Schizosaccharomyces pombe: one gene and its partners. Changing the gene in region 1 together with any one later gene gives a genetic interaction. Each region holds a gene or a part of one and is shown on either strand. Other genes may lie near its edges.

Region 1 (4,371 bases):
TATTAAAGCACTGCGAACAGTTTGAAGGCTTTTTGCTAGACGAAGAATCTGGAGAAGTTTTGCCAGTATCCGATTATTGTAACGAAATTCGAAACAATAGCAAATGGGGAAGTGATATTGAAATACAGGCATTAGCAAACTCTCTTGAGGTTCCTGTTCATGTCTACAACACAGAAGGTCCAGTTTTAAAGTTTAACCCCTCAACGGTCAAGTTCGAAAAACCGTTGTGTATAGCATATTACCAGCATTTGTTTGGGCTTGGCGCTCACTATAATAGTTTATTATATCGGGACAATTAAAAAGATCTAATGAGATGCTTTAGATAGGTTTTTATCCTTTGGTTTATTAGCTTCCTTCCTCGCCGGAAACCATTTAAAAAGGCTGTGCCTTACGAGTTAGATTATATGAATAATATTTATGAATTAAAACTCTTCTGTATTCTATTAATCAAAAAAAAAAATTAGCCATTATTATCTATCATATCCAGTCATATAGTATGCACAATAAATATTACCAAACATGCTTAGAAAGCTTCATCAGGGAAGCATTAGAAACGGTAGAACAATAAATAGAATTAAGGTAGAACATTACTTGTAGCTGTAAGGGGGTGGTGCCTCATCACTTTTTCTTGGAGGCGGTATATGTGGTTGAGGACGAACGTTAGGAATATCGGTTTGTTGCGAACTTGAGCCAGGAAAAAATGCATGCTGTTGAGCACTCGCCTCAGGTCTTTCGGGAGTAGGAAGATCTTCACGCCTGCGCCTTTGATCAATCATGGCCGAATCTACTGGTTCATACCACCCACAATGAGAACAACGAAGTACCTGCTCTGAGTTAGCAAGTGAGTGCTTATTAGTTGGACAGCAAAATAATCCCAACTTTCCCTGGAAAGCATGTAACATTGAAGATTGAAGAATGGCTTAGAAAATAACAAACAAGGTCTGTCAGGTTTCCAAACAATGATAAGTAGAAAGGGTCAACTACATAACATATGCTTTCTTGAATTCCCTTACCTTACTCGTATAAACCGGGAGAACAGGCAAAACGATGAGTGCTAAAGATTTAACCAAACGATATACCCGAACTAAAAACCAAAGTTTTACGTTAACATTAATAAAACAACCCAAAGAAAGAGCAATTGCCTTCATGCAACTACACCACTTATATGTGTCTCATACCAGTTTTATTTTGGCTAAAAAGAAAGTATTAGCAAAAAGTGCTGATGAAAAGAATAGAAGGAAAACAAGAAGACTGCTAGAAACTATTTTTAAATGACAAATTTTAATAAAAAACAAGTGCGTAATTTCTGAAAACAAAATGTTTCTACAATTGTTCCATTTCCACTTCGCCATTTAAACAATGTACTCAATCCACTTGTTTTAACACTAATTCATTGATTTCATACCATACAGGACATGTCAGTAAGACGTGCTTATATTTGCTATTGACTTTCCATATGTCTTGAACATTCAGCGGTATCGGCAAGAAGAGGAACATCTCACGTTAAGAGTCTTAAAATCTTCTTTAAAAAAAAAGAAAAGAAGTTGGATATTATAATGAATAATTCGAGTTAAATCCAAAATATTCGTTTTAGCAGAGTCACTCCATTAGTACGTAGACTAAGCCTCACAGTTAGTGTAATATCACAGAAAATATTTTCGTTAGCTTTATCGCTAAATACATAAAAGAATATCATCACAAAAAGAGGTATTGCTAACGAACTACGGTGCGTCTCTATATTTAGAAGCAACACCAATAACTTCAAAAAATGAAAGCAGAAAATTCGTAGAGAAGAAATTTTCTAATCTTGCATCCCAAGTCAAATCATGTATTTGTGTCTTTAATTAGTAAATATTAGGATAATCGTTGATTTGAAGTATTAAAAAATTGATTGTATTTTGGAGCGCAAATCTGAGATTTTTTTTATAGATTAAAAAATTCTCCTTGATACGGTCATTTTCGGTTGACTTGTGTTCAAACTCTTTCTATAAAAAGAGGTTCTTTTTCTAAGAGAATCCCTGCCGAGTTTCCTTAAGTTTTAGAAAGGTAAAGGGCTGGTCGACGTCTTTTCACATTGTTGGTGCCAAAAACAAAATTTTCGAGACAAATAACTGGGTTCGTGGTGTATATTTTAACAAATTATCGTTTATTTTAATTTTCTGTATTTCGTTATTATATACCGTTTTTTCGTGCTCGTTTCATCTTGTATCGTTCTTGACAATTTCTGTATCTTCACTTTTTGGATTTATTTGTTTGGATGCGTGGCATAGAATAATCATGTCGAATTCGTTAAATGATCAAACACGACCACCCGATTCAAGTGTTGTAGACAGTACATCTTCCAACTTTCCAAATGCGTCAAACGATAGTGTACATGATAAACCGGTAAAACAGGACGAACAATCCAATCCAAATGTTCGCGAAGCAATTGCTAATTCCGATGGACAAGAATCTTTAGCTGTAAAGGAAAACAAGGATACGGAAAGCTCATCCTCTCATTTCGTACCTAACGGAGTTTCAAATTCTAAAAAGAGAAAGCTCGTGGCTACAGATTTAGATGTTGATTTTGATATTAGTAGTGTACGAGTTACTGAAAAGCCATCTGTATTAGAAGAAAAAAGCGGCGTTATTCAATTTCGTGTTGTTTCTAACGACGACACCGCCGACAGTATGATCATGTTGACTGGTTTAAAAAACATATTTATGAAACAACTTCCTAAAATGCCAAAAGAATACATTACGCGGCTAATTTATGATCGAAACCATCTTTCAATGACCATTGTCAAAGATAATTTACATGTAGTGGGCGGTATTACTTATCGTCCATTTGAACAACGAGGATTTGCCGAAATTGTATTTTGTGCGATTGCTTCCAATGAACAGGTTCGTGGTTATGGTTCTCATTTAATGAATCATTTAAAGGATTATGTCCGTGGAACTACTACAATTCAGCACTTCTTGACATATGCAGATAACTATGCAATCGGGTATTTTAAAAAACAAGGATTTACTAAGGAAATTACTCTTGACAAGTCTATATGGGTTGGCTATATTAAGGATTACGAAGGTGGCACACTTATGCAATGCACCATGATTCCAAAAATAAAGTATTTAGAAGCTAATCTGATTTTGGCTATTCAGAAAGCTGCTGTTGTTTCCAAAATTAACAGGATCACTCGGTCGAACGTTGTTTATCCTGGTTTAGACGTATTCAAAGATGGTCCAGCTCATATAGAGCCGTCTCAAGTTCCTGGGTTGATGGAAGTTGGATGGTGCAAGGAAATGGAAGAGCTCTCCAAAAAGCCCAGACCTAAACCTTTTTTTGCCGTTTTGGAAATGCTTTTTACAGAAATGCAAAATCATCCGTCTTCCTGGCCCTTTATGCAACCGGTTAGTAAAGAGGATGTACCCGATTATTACGAAGTTATTGAACACCCCATGGACCTTTCGACTATGGAATTTCGGTTGCGTAACAACCAGTATGAGTCTGTAGAGGAATTTATTCGGGATGCAAAATATATATTTGATAATTGCCGTTCTTACAATGACTCCAACACGACTTACTATAAAAATGCCGATAGATTGGAAAAGTTTTTCCAGAAAAAACTTCGTGAAACTGAGTATTCACACTTAGCCGATTAATCATTTACATTTATTATCATCGAAACGTCTATTCCGAAGTTTTATTGATTATAACATATACATTTCACCTTTTAATTTTTTACACGAATATCTTTTGTGCCTTCCAAATATGCTGGCATATCAAGAACTGCTAGTGTTTAATTTTTAGTTTTTTTGTTTAAAAATATATATAATTCTATAATACCAAACACTCTTTATGTTCCATAATAACAAATGTACAACTCATTAAATTGAAAATATGTTATCAGAACAAGTCATGATTTTATTACACAGATGCTTGCATAGATCCAAGTAAAACAGTAACCATAGGTTTTTCGTCAATTCTGTAGTAAGAGTCGTTGGCCTCCACCTCTTCGGACTCCACCGTCGGTTCTTCAAGGTTTTCATGATAATTTTTTAGAGCATCAGTCAACTCATCAATTGGAATGGATGCTTCGGAAAACAGCATCTTAATTTTTTTCAATGTCACTGTATTTTCAACGCATAACCACGAAAGGATAAGAACTGTAGATTGGAAAGGAAACAGTCCATGATCAATTTGTTGGAGAAACCATTTGGTACTCTTTTCCTCCGAATCAGGACTAAAATCAAGTTTTCTGCTTTGGTCAATACCTTTGAGTTGGATTCTCAAGCGATCGTAAATTTTGAAAAGGCGTTTCATTTTTTCAAAGTCATTTTCAATGAATTTCCGTAAAAAGCGCACCCTTTCTACGGTGTCAGCAGGTAAAG
Region 2 (4,596 bases), on another chromosome or scaffold:
GAGAGAAAACCCCTGCGCGTTTCTTGATCTTTTCAAAACTATAGTCTCATGAAGAGATTGCAGTGCTGAGCTGTGCTGATCTAGAGCTATCAGCTCATCGGCAAGCTAATTTATGTTAGTCAAAGTAAGTAAAAAACTCATAATACATACCCTTAGCACATTTTCGGGCTTTCCTTGAGGAGGTGCCATGTTGTGCAGTTGAAAACTTCCCCCTTGTCGTAGTAAAATTTTATTACACGAATAGCGAGCTACCTCGCAGTTTTATATAAGCCACTAAACAAGAGGTACTTAATTCTTGATTTTGCAAAAAAAAATGTTAGCACATGCATATATATATAGTTAGTTGTTCATATCTTTCTTAGGTTTGACTTGAATAAGCATCACTTTTTGTGCAAAGAAATTAGTGGTTTACCGAATACGATAATATGACTAAATTTGAATAGATCGCCTAGTGTGAAGTGCTAACATACTCGTTAATCTATCATGTTTGTTTAAAAAATACCAGTTCAGTTTAGAACAGAGGAAAGCTCTATTTTTGCTTTTATTTGAACGTTTATGGGATAGTAGTCAGATTTTTCTGTTGCCGCTACTAATTACTATCGTTACACAATGTACATCCAAGAAATATTAGTACCGTTATAGTTTTGGAATTTTAGCCGTAGATCTGTTTCTACGCTAATCACCAAGTCCATTCTTTGTTTGATGTATTTGGTGATAAAACTAGTTAGTTCTTAAAATAATCTTTATTGCCGTTGAGTCGATACTCGCTTGAGTTCCTCATCAGGGCTTATGCATTGTTTTATACTTGTAGCATTGTCTAAACTCTTATTTACAATTGGCAACAAACTTATATAAACGTTGAGACCTTACCAGTGAAAGAAGTGTGGTTTGAGCGAAATATTTTCCGAGCCAATCTAAAATTTAAAGTGTTATCCTTGAAAAGTAGCAGAAACTCGCATTACTTTTACTCAAAGCTTGAATAAAGGAAGAAAGATTTAGCGAATATAGTTTGTCAAAGTATTATAATAAAGAGGTCATAACCCTATGTATTCCGAAAGATTTTTTTGTTAAAAAACGCTAAGTCCTCAATCTCTTCGACGCTAGGTAAACTCTAGAGGCCCATTTTGATGAAGCAATTTAATTGTGATTGGTGTAAATGTTAGACTTCTAGAAGAATAAACTAAGTGAAGTATTCGTTGATGGCGGGTACAAAAATATTAGCTTATAAACTATTCACAAAGATTCTTGAAAGGGCTTTTTATCAAGCATCTCGAAAATCTTTGTACTTTCACATCAACTGTATATAATTGTAACTCTTACATTTCCGTAAAATGCAAAATCACGCTTTCCAATTTCCTCTGGTTTTCTTTGAAAACAACACCAATAAATATAAAAAGAGAAAGAACGGGAAGAATAAATTTACCCCTTCCTATGTCCAAACTATTTTCATTTCAGAGTTCAACTGTTTACAATCATCTTTTTATTTCGGTCATTCACGTTACCCCCGCTTATTCTGCTTAATCATCAGCGGCAGAATGCACTATTGAAGTTTAAGCAAAATTGCACCTTTTTCTCGTAAATATAGTTACACCATGAAAGAAATGTAAAAAAGATAGTATGGTAAATCTATCTTGTAAAAGGCTTTCATGCAAACCTTCCGACTTACTTCTACTGGTCGAAATATTCTAAGACCCGATGAACTTGCTTTTCAGCCGAGAGAAGAGATTCCCTATAAATCTTTCCATCCAGACCTACAAATAGACGAACCTTTGGAAATATTAGAAGGTGACCATACACAATATGCAGGCCTTCGTGATTCTTTAGTAACCTATAAATCCGAGAATTCTTATGTGCTTAAAGCTTTGCTCAATGCCAAGATCGAAAACGTAAAGCCAGTAGGTGTTCAAACGGAAAATATTAATCCACAAGAGAAAAAATTTGGATATAAAACTGCGAAACAATTAGATTGGAGTCCAGACGAATATTTCAAGTTCGTTGCTATACATCCTTACTCAAAAACGTCCTTTCCTGTATCCTACGACTTGGATGAGTTAGACACAATGTGGTTAACATATTATAATGAGTTTCAACTTTCATCTAATTCAGAGTGGGAAAATGTTTCTAAAGAATTTTTAGAAATAGTTCTTACCATTATTGAACGCGAATGGCTTTATCTAGAGGCTTGGATGCCTAAGATTGAACCCGTCAGAGTGGAGGATGAACTAGATGGTCGTTGTGTTATTTGTAATGAAGCAGAATGCGAAAACAGTAATGCTATAGTTTTTTGCGATAACTGTAACACTTCTGTTCACCAGAATTGTTATGGAATCCCTTTTGTTCCAGAGGGTCAATGGTTTTGTAAGAAATGTTTACTAGCCCCTCATGAAGTTATATGCTGTGCTTTTTGTCCTGACAGAGATGGTGCGTTTTGCACAACCTTGGATGGACGTTGGTGCCACACAATTTGCGCCATAGCAATCCCTGAAATATCTTTTCACGACACTAGTAGATTAGACTTGGTTCGAAACATTGCTTCAATCCCAAAGTCTCGCTGGAAATTGGTGTGTTGCATTTGTAAACTTCGATGGGGTACTTGTGTGCAATGCTCAGATAAAAATTGTTATGCAGCTTACCATATAACTTGTGCTCGACGTGCAGGTTTTTTTTACAAAATATACTCACATTCTGCAAGTTATGATAGTGTTGATATGGAAACTTATTGTGATAAACATACTCCACCCGATTATTTAAACGGATTGATGAAGCGCTTGTTTCCGTTAGCTGAATTATATTACAAACGCATGGCTACAGACGTTCCACTCAACTTCCAAGCTACTAAAGCGCCTGATTTTGTGCCCGAAGGGCCATGGAAATCGCATCCATTACCGGCTTTTATTGTTGATAAAGTTACCAAAGTTTTATTGTCTTATAATGTTAAAAGGCAAGATCTGCCCTCCATAGTAACTGACATCTGCAAATTTTATCACATGAAACGCCGATCCCGAAAGGATGCGCCATTGCTTAAATCGCAACTCCTTATGGATAGTCTTGAAAATCTCCCGGTGAGGGCTTCTAAAGATCGCGTTAGGTCTTTAGAAGTAGCGAAGGCTCTACAAGATCAATATCAATCATTGCTTACTCTTGTAGAATCTACTGCTAAACGGCAATTATTAAAATGTCAATTATCAAACTTAAGAAAAAAATTTTTGAATTTAAACTATTTTCCTGCTCAACGGTTATTACAGGATACCCTTGTTAAAATTATAGATCTCGATGTCGATGGTCTTTTCAATATGCCGCTCGATAATGGATGGATTGGGTGGGTTGAATTAAAAAGACAAGTATTCAGTTATCAGATCGGCAGTATTAGCTCTCTAGAAAAGAAACTTGAGCCTATTTGGGATGTTGATGGTGTAATACAGTGTATTGATGATATGGAACAATTAACTGCCATGGTTCAGTTTGCACAAAAAACAGAAGGAGAAGTGAAAAAACTATTTATTAAGGCAAAAATATACTTTGAAAGTTTGAGTCTTGATGAAAGAGGGAATCTCAAAGTACCCTCTCTCGGTATTAACGGACTTGAGTATGATAACTGGCCCGGTTTAAACGAGCTTGAAATGAGTCAACTGGATATTCCTTCACAGGGAAATCTTAAGTCCTTACATGATTTTATTGAGGGTTTAGATTTGAATGAAAAAATAGGGAAATTTCCCATTTCTATGTTCCAAAATCAGGTTGCTCAGTTTTCGACAATTGAAATTCCTAAGATGTCTGGACGTGCTAACGGAATGCATAACTTCCATTCAGAAGATGTTACAGGACAAAGCAATCATGCTTTACCAAACAGTGTAACTAAAAAAAATGGCACCAAGCAACCATATACCAAAAATTCGCTTCCCTTTAATGAACGCATCACAAGATCTAAAGCCAAGAAAAACTATTCATGATACTGAAATTATTGTTAAGTTAGTTCATCGTTGCTTTAGTACCTATGACCAATTATTGATATCGAAACTTTATAATATCTAAAACCGTTAATTGTACATTTTAGTTCCGAATAGTTAATTTATTAATATTTTTCAAAAGCAATTTTTCTTAAATTTTCACGCAGTGAAATAGTCATCAAATACACTCACGCTCGTACCCAACAAAGATATTGCTAGACTAGCTTAGTGTGTAGTCTATTAGTAATCATTCTCGGTTTATATATAATCTGCTGCTCCTTTAAAGCGTTTCTATTTGGTATTTCTACTAAGTTACCGACTGTACTAACATATTACGTTACACACACTATCAGTCGTTGTTACATTATTAATCAAGAGTTAACAAATGACCCATAACACTATGCTTCAAAGATTTAATGGTTTATTAGAGCCTACACATTTGTATATTGTATCTGTTGTAGCTTATTCAGCTTGCAACCGACCGGATAAAATAAGTGGGATAGCTAAGGAAGCAATGGAGCATGTGGGACCAAGTATTTATCCAAAATTAAGAGAAGCATTAGTAAAATCATCTCCATTAGTTGGATTTCCTAGAGTATGATTATAATGATCATGTTTTCTTCGATTTCACTTCAGGTGATGCGAAGAT
Region 3 (3,679 bases), on another chromosome or scaffold:
GAGATCAATATCTCCAAGGAATTTTTTAGAAATTGTACAGTCATTGAATAGAGATTTCTCCATCGATGGCCAATGCGATGCTCAAGAATTTTTAAATTTCTTTCTTGATAAACTTCATGAAGATTTGAACTCCAATGCATCTCGGTCTCCGATAGCACCGTTGACGGAAGATCAATTAAGTGCCAGAGAAGAACTCCCATTGTCCCACTTTTCACACATTGAATGGAACTTGCATCTCCGGTCTAACAAGAGTATTGTGGTCAACAATTTTGTAGGTCAACTTTGCAGTCGTACTCAATGTATGACATGTGGCCGCACATCTACTACTTTTGCTCCCTTCACATCGCTTGCGATACCGATTGACGATGTCTCCCATGTAGTAAGCCTACAAGAATGCTTATTAAAATTTTCAGCTCCTGAACTCTTGCAAGGGCATGATGGATGGCATTGTCCCGTGTGCAAGGTTCAAAGGTCGGCAAAAAAAGTAATTATGATTTCGAAACTACCTGAATATTTGATCATACAAATTCAGAGATTTAAAATATCCGTAATGGGTCGTAAAAAAATTGATACACCACTTGGATTGAGCTTACAGATTCCAAGTAAAATGCTGGTACCACCGAGTTTCCAATCGGGAATTGGTTATATTCCTAGCAATTATAACCTGTTTGCATTTATCTGTCATTATGGCCAGCTCGAAAATGGACATTATATATCTGATGTACTTTTTAATAATGAATGGTGCCATATTGATGACTCAATTGTTCGAACAGTGGGCGGTATTACTGACTTGAGAGAAGATTTCTCCTCTTCCTACATTCTTTTTTATAAACGCTCAAGTCTGTTGGAGGAGTTTGAAGATAAGTGTCCCAAAATGACTTTGAAAAGAAATGTTAAATAAAACAAAATAAAAAAAGGAAAAATGTTTTCAATAAACCTCAAATATAGTTATTGAATAAATGTTCAACTTAGCATTCATAACCGATATGAATACTTACTTAATGCTGATTACCCAACACAAAAGCTACTCTCGTTATGTTGAACAGAATGCAGGAATTGGATACAAAATTTTTTCATCCTAGAATTTTTTTTAAACAAAGATGGTTTTTTTCTTCAAGATTGATCATATTCTTTTAAGGAAGATTTTGTTCTTAACTTTCCAGACTTTTTCTTTTTAAACACCACTTTGTTTTCATTTGATTCCTTGCTTTCTAGCGATTTGTTTCCCTCGTTTTCAGCTAACTTAGGTACTTTATCTAAGTTTTTTGGTTTTACCCGAAAATGAAATGAAGATCTTTCTTCTTTTTCGATGATCTCTCTGTTTCTTTTCAAAGAGGTCCCTGGTAGAGACTCATTTTTATTAGTAGTTGTTTCCTTGGTTTCTTCATTTTCTTCTTGCTTTGCTAGCAATGTAGGAATATAGCTGGTATGAGTAGTAGAGATGGTGTCAGTCTCCGTAGAACTTGTAGGAATATCCCAATCATCCAAAGTAGCTTTTTTTTTAGAGGGACGTAATTTTGGATGCTCCTTTTTTGGTTTCTCATACGATGCTAGTTCAGATGACACCGCTGAAGCAGTGGTAGCAGTAGCTGATTTTGGTATAGATAAATTCTTCTCAAGTTCCTGCCTTAAAAGGTTGGAACGATGAATATCATCCATTACTTTTTTAATAGCATCCTGATGTTTATAAGTTTGCTCATGGCTCCGTCGCGCAAATGGTGTATCTTTCACGAACTGTACTGTTAGTAGGATTCTATTAATTTCACCACTTTAGAAATAATTTTTGGATGTTATAGAAAAAACTTACTATTTGGCAATATTTACAATAATATTTTGGAATACTTTTCCAGTAATCAGCCATTCTGAATATTAATAGGAGATACGCACTAAATACATACTTAAAACTTATTTACCCATATATTTTTCTCAGGAAACCCACCTTTTAGCATACCGTTATTTAGTAATGACAACAGTTTCAATTACTTTTGACTTGTTGTCGTCTATGCAACCAAGAAAATGGCTGAAAAATCAGAATTTTGTTGGTGAAATTACCTCTCTCAGTTTTGACGACAGTGGAGAGTTGTGCTTGGCGTCGTGTACTGATGATACTTTACAACTGTATAACTGCATTTCTGGAAAGTAAGTACTTCTTAAATTCACTTTTGAAACCTGTTTGGCTAACTGACCATGAACTTCTAGATTTGTGAAATCACTTGCAAGCAAAAAGTACGGAGCACATTTAGGTCGGTTTACTCATCATTCAAATTCATTAATACATGCTTCCACAAAGGAAGACAATACCGTTCGTTATTTAGACGTTGTGACAAATCGGTATCTTCGATATTTTCCTGGCCATAAGCAAACAGTGACTTCAATCGATGTATCACCAGCAGATGAAACTTTTTTAAGCGCTTCTTTAGATAATACTATTCGCCTTTGGGACCTTCGGTCTCCAAATTGCCAGGTATGAGTATAACAATTACTGATAATCAAACTAACTAGGAATACGTAGGGTTTGCTCAATGTTAGTTCACCCGTTGTTGCAGCTTTTGATGCTACAGGACTAATCTTTGCCTCAGTTAGTGAAAGAAAATACAAAATTTCTCTTTATAACATTAAATCATTTGATGCTCGCCCATTTCAAGACATTCCTTTAACATTCCTGCCCCCTCATGTCCGCATTGCAAATGTGGAATTCAGTACTGATGGTAAATATCTATTGCTAACAACTGGAAATGATTTTCATTACGTTATAGACGCTTATAGTGGAAGTGAATTATTAAGAGTTCCTTCAAAGGTTAGCACAAAAACCCAAGATGGAAATTTGACTTATTATGCTTCAGCTTGCATGTCTCCAGATAGTAAATTTCTTTTTACTTCATATGATAATGAGCATCTTTGCATGTATCAACTACCAGAACTGAAACAAACTGTTAACTCGGATCACATTGTTAATTCATTCACCGAAATGGGCCTAGCATCAACTACTCCGACCAGCAATAGTCATTCAACAGAGAACCCGCTAGCTATCATTCCTTCTTCAACATCTAAAAACCTTTTACCAGAAACACCTTCTATTGTTCGCTTTAATCCACGCTTCTCTCAATTAGTTACAGCACATTCTGGAGTAATTTTCTGGACGTAAAATTGTTTTTGTGTCTTAACAAACCACGAAAAAATGAATATTATATTATACTATTATTAAAAACAATTTCATAAAAAAACTTCATAACTATTATTTAAAAGGGGGAAAAAATGAGTCCTCTATTTTAAATGACACCTGAATGACTTAGAAGACTTAAACAAAATAAAAAAAGGTAAAGTAATATTAGTTTTGAATCGAGATTAGGTTCGTAATAAACGCTTCACAAAGTGTCCAAATTTTGAGTTTCTAAATCCATGATGGGAATTCCCCAAATCATAATCAACACACAAGACAATAGTCATACCTGCCATGTTGGTAGCAATTATTATATCAATCGGATGTACAGGAGGTGTTCCATATGATCTGTGACTATGAGGTTTTACTAGATTGTATCCTTCTGCAATTAAACTGCGATCATGTTCCGACTCTTTAGCTTCGACAGCAGTCCTTGCTGGTGCAATGATGGTCGAAGTCAGTCTCTCACTACAAACCTTGAATGTTTCCGTGGGCAAATGGAGAATGACAGAGCGTTTT

The links.
Region 2: mutations in gcn5 (region 1) and nto1 impair growth when combined (synthetic growth defect), as found in Schizosaccharomyces pombe (4 studies listed by BioGRID, with this or other methods).
Region 3: mutations in gcn5 (region 1) and swd2 together harm fitness more than expected from each alone (negative genetic interaction), as found in Schizosaccharomyces pombe (2 studies listed by BioGRID).

The regions. Positions count from the first base shown.
Region 1 is NC_003424.3:4,971,839-4,976,209, forward strand, and holds gcn5 (SAGA complex histone acetyltransferase catalytic subunit Gcn5), read left to right. Parts: upstream 1-1,785; 5' UTR 1,786-2,277; coding exon 2,278-3,642; 3' UTR 3,643-3,860; downstream 3,861-4,371. Other genes in the region: OUT family ubiquitin-specific cysteine protease Otu2, read left to right, coding at 1-299; SPOM_SPAC1952.04C (uncharacterized protein), read right to left, coding at 588-824, 1,014-1,084, 1,179-1,192, 1,406-1,497; SPOM_SPAC1952.06C (uncharacterized protein), read right to left, coding at 3,908-4,371.
Region 2 is NC_003423.3:3,309,931-3,314,526, reverse strand, and holds nto1 (histone acetyltransferase complex subunit Nto1), read left to right. Parts: upstream 1-1,617; 5' UTR 1,618-1,646; coding exon 1,647-3,950; 3' UTR 3,951-4,092; downstream 4,093-4,596. Other genes in the region: tif301 (translation initiation factor eIF3a), read right to left, coding at 1-105, 151-189; carboxymuconolactone decarboxylase-like protein, Pxp2, read left to right, coding at 4,333-4,542. UniProt on the Schizosaccharomyces pombe protein: Component of the mst2 complex which is a highly specific H3 lysine 14 (H3K14) acetyltransferase that functions together with gcn5 to regulate global levels of H3K14 acetylation (H3K14ac), critical for DNA damage checkpoint activation.
Region 3 is NC_003423.3:1,781,441-1,785,119, reverse strand, and holds swd2 (Set1C complex subunit Swd2.1), read left to right. Parts: upstream 1-1,900; 5' UTR 1,901-1,963; coding exon 1,964-2,139; intron 2,140-2,199; coding exon 2,200-2,464; intron 2,465-2,512; coding exon 2,513-3,145; 3' UTR 3,146-3,175; downstream 3,176-3,679. Other genes in the region: ubiquitin hydrolase Ubp4, read left to right, coding at 1-901; wbp4 (WW domain-binding protein 4), read right to left, coding at 1,114-1,734, 1,808-1,861; SPOM_SPBC18H10.05 (WD repeat-containing protein), read right to left, coding at 3,346-3,679. UniProt on the Schizosaccharomyces pombe protein: The Set1 complex specifically methylates 'Lys-4' of histone H3.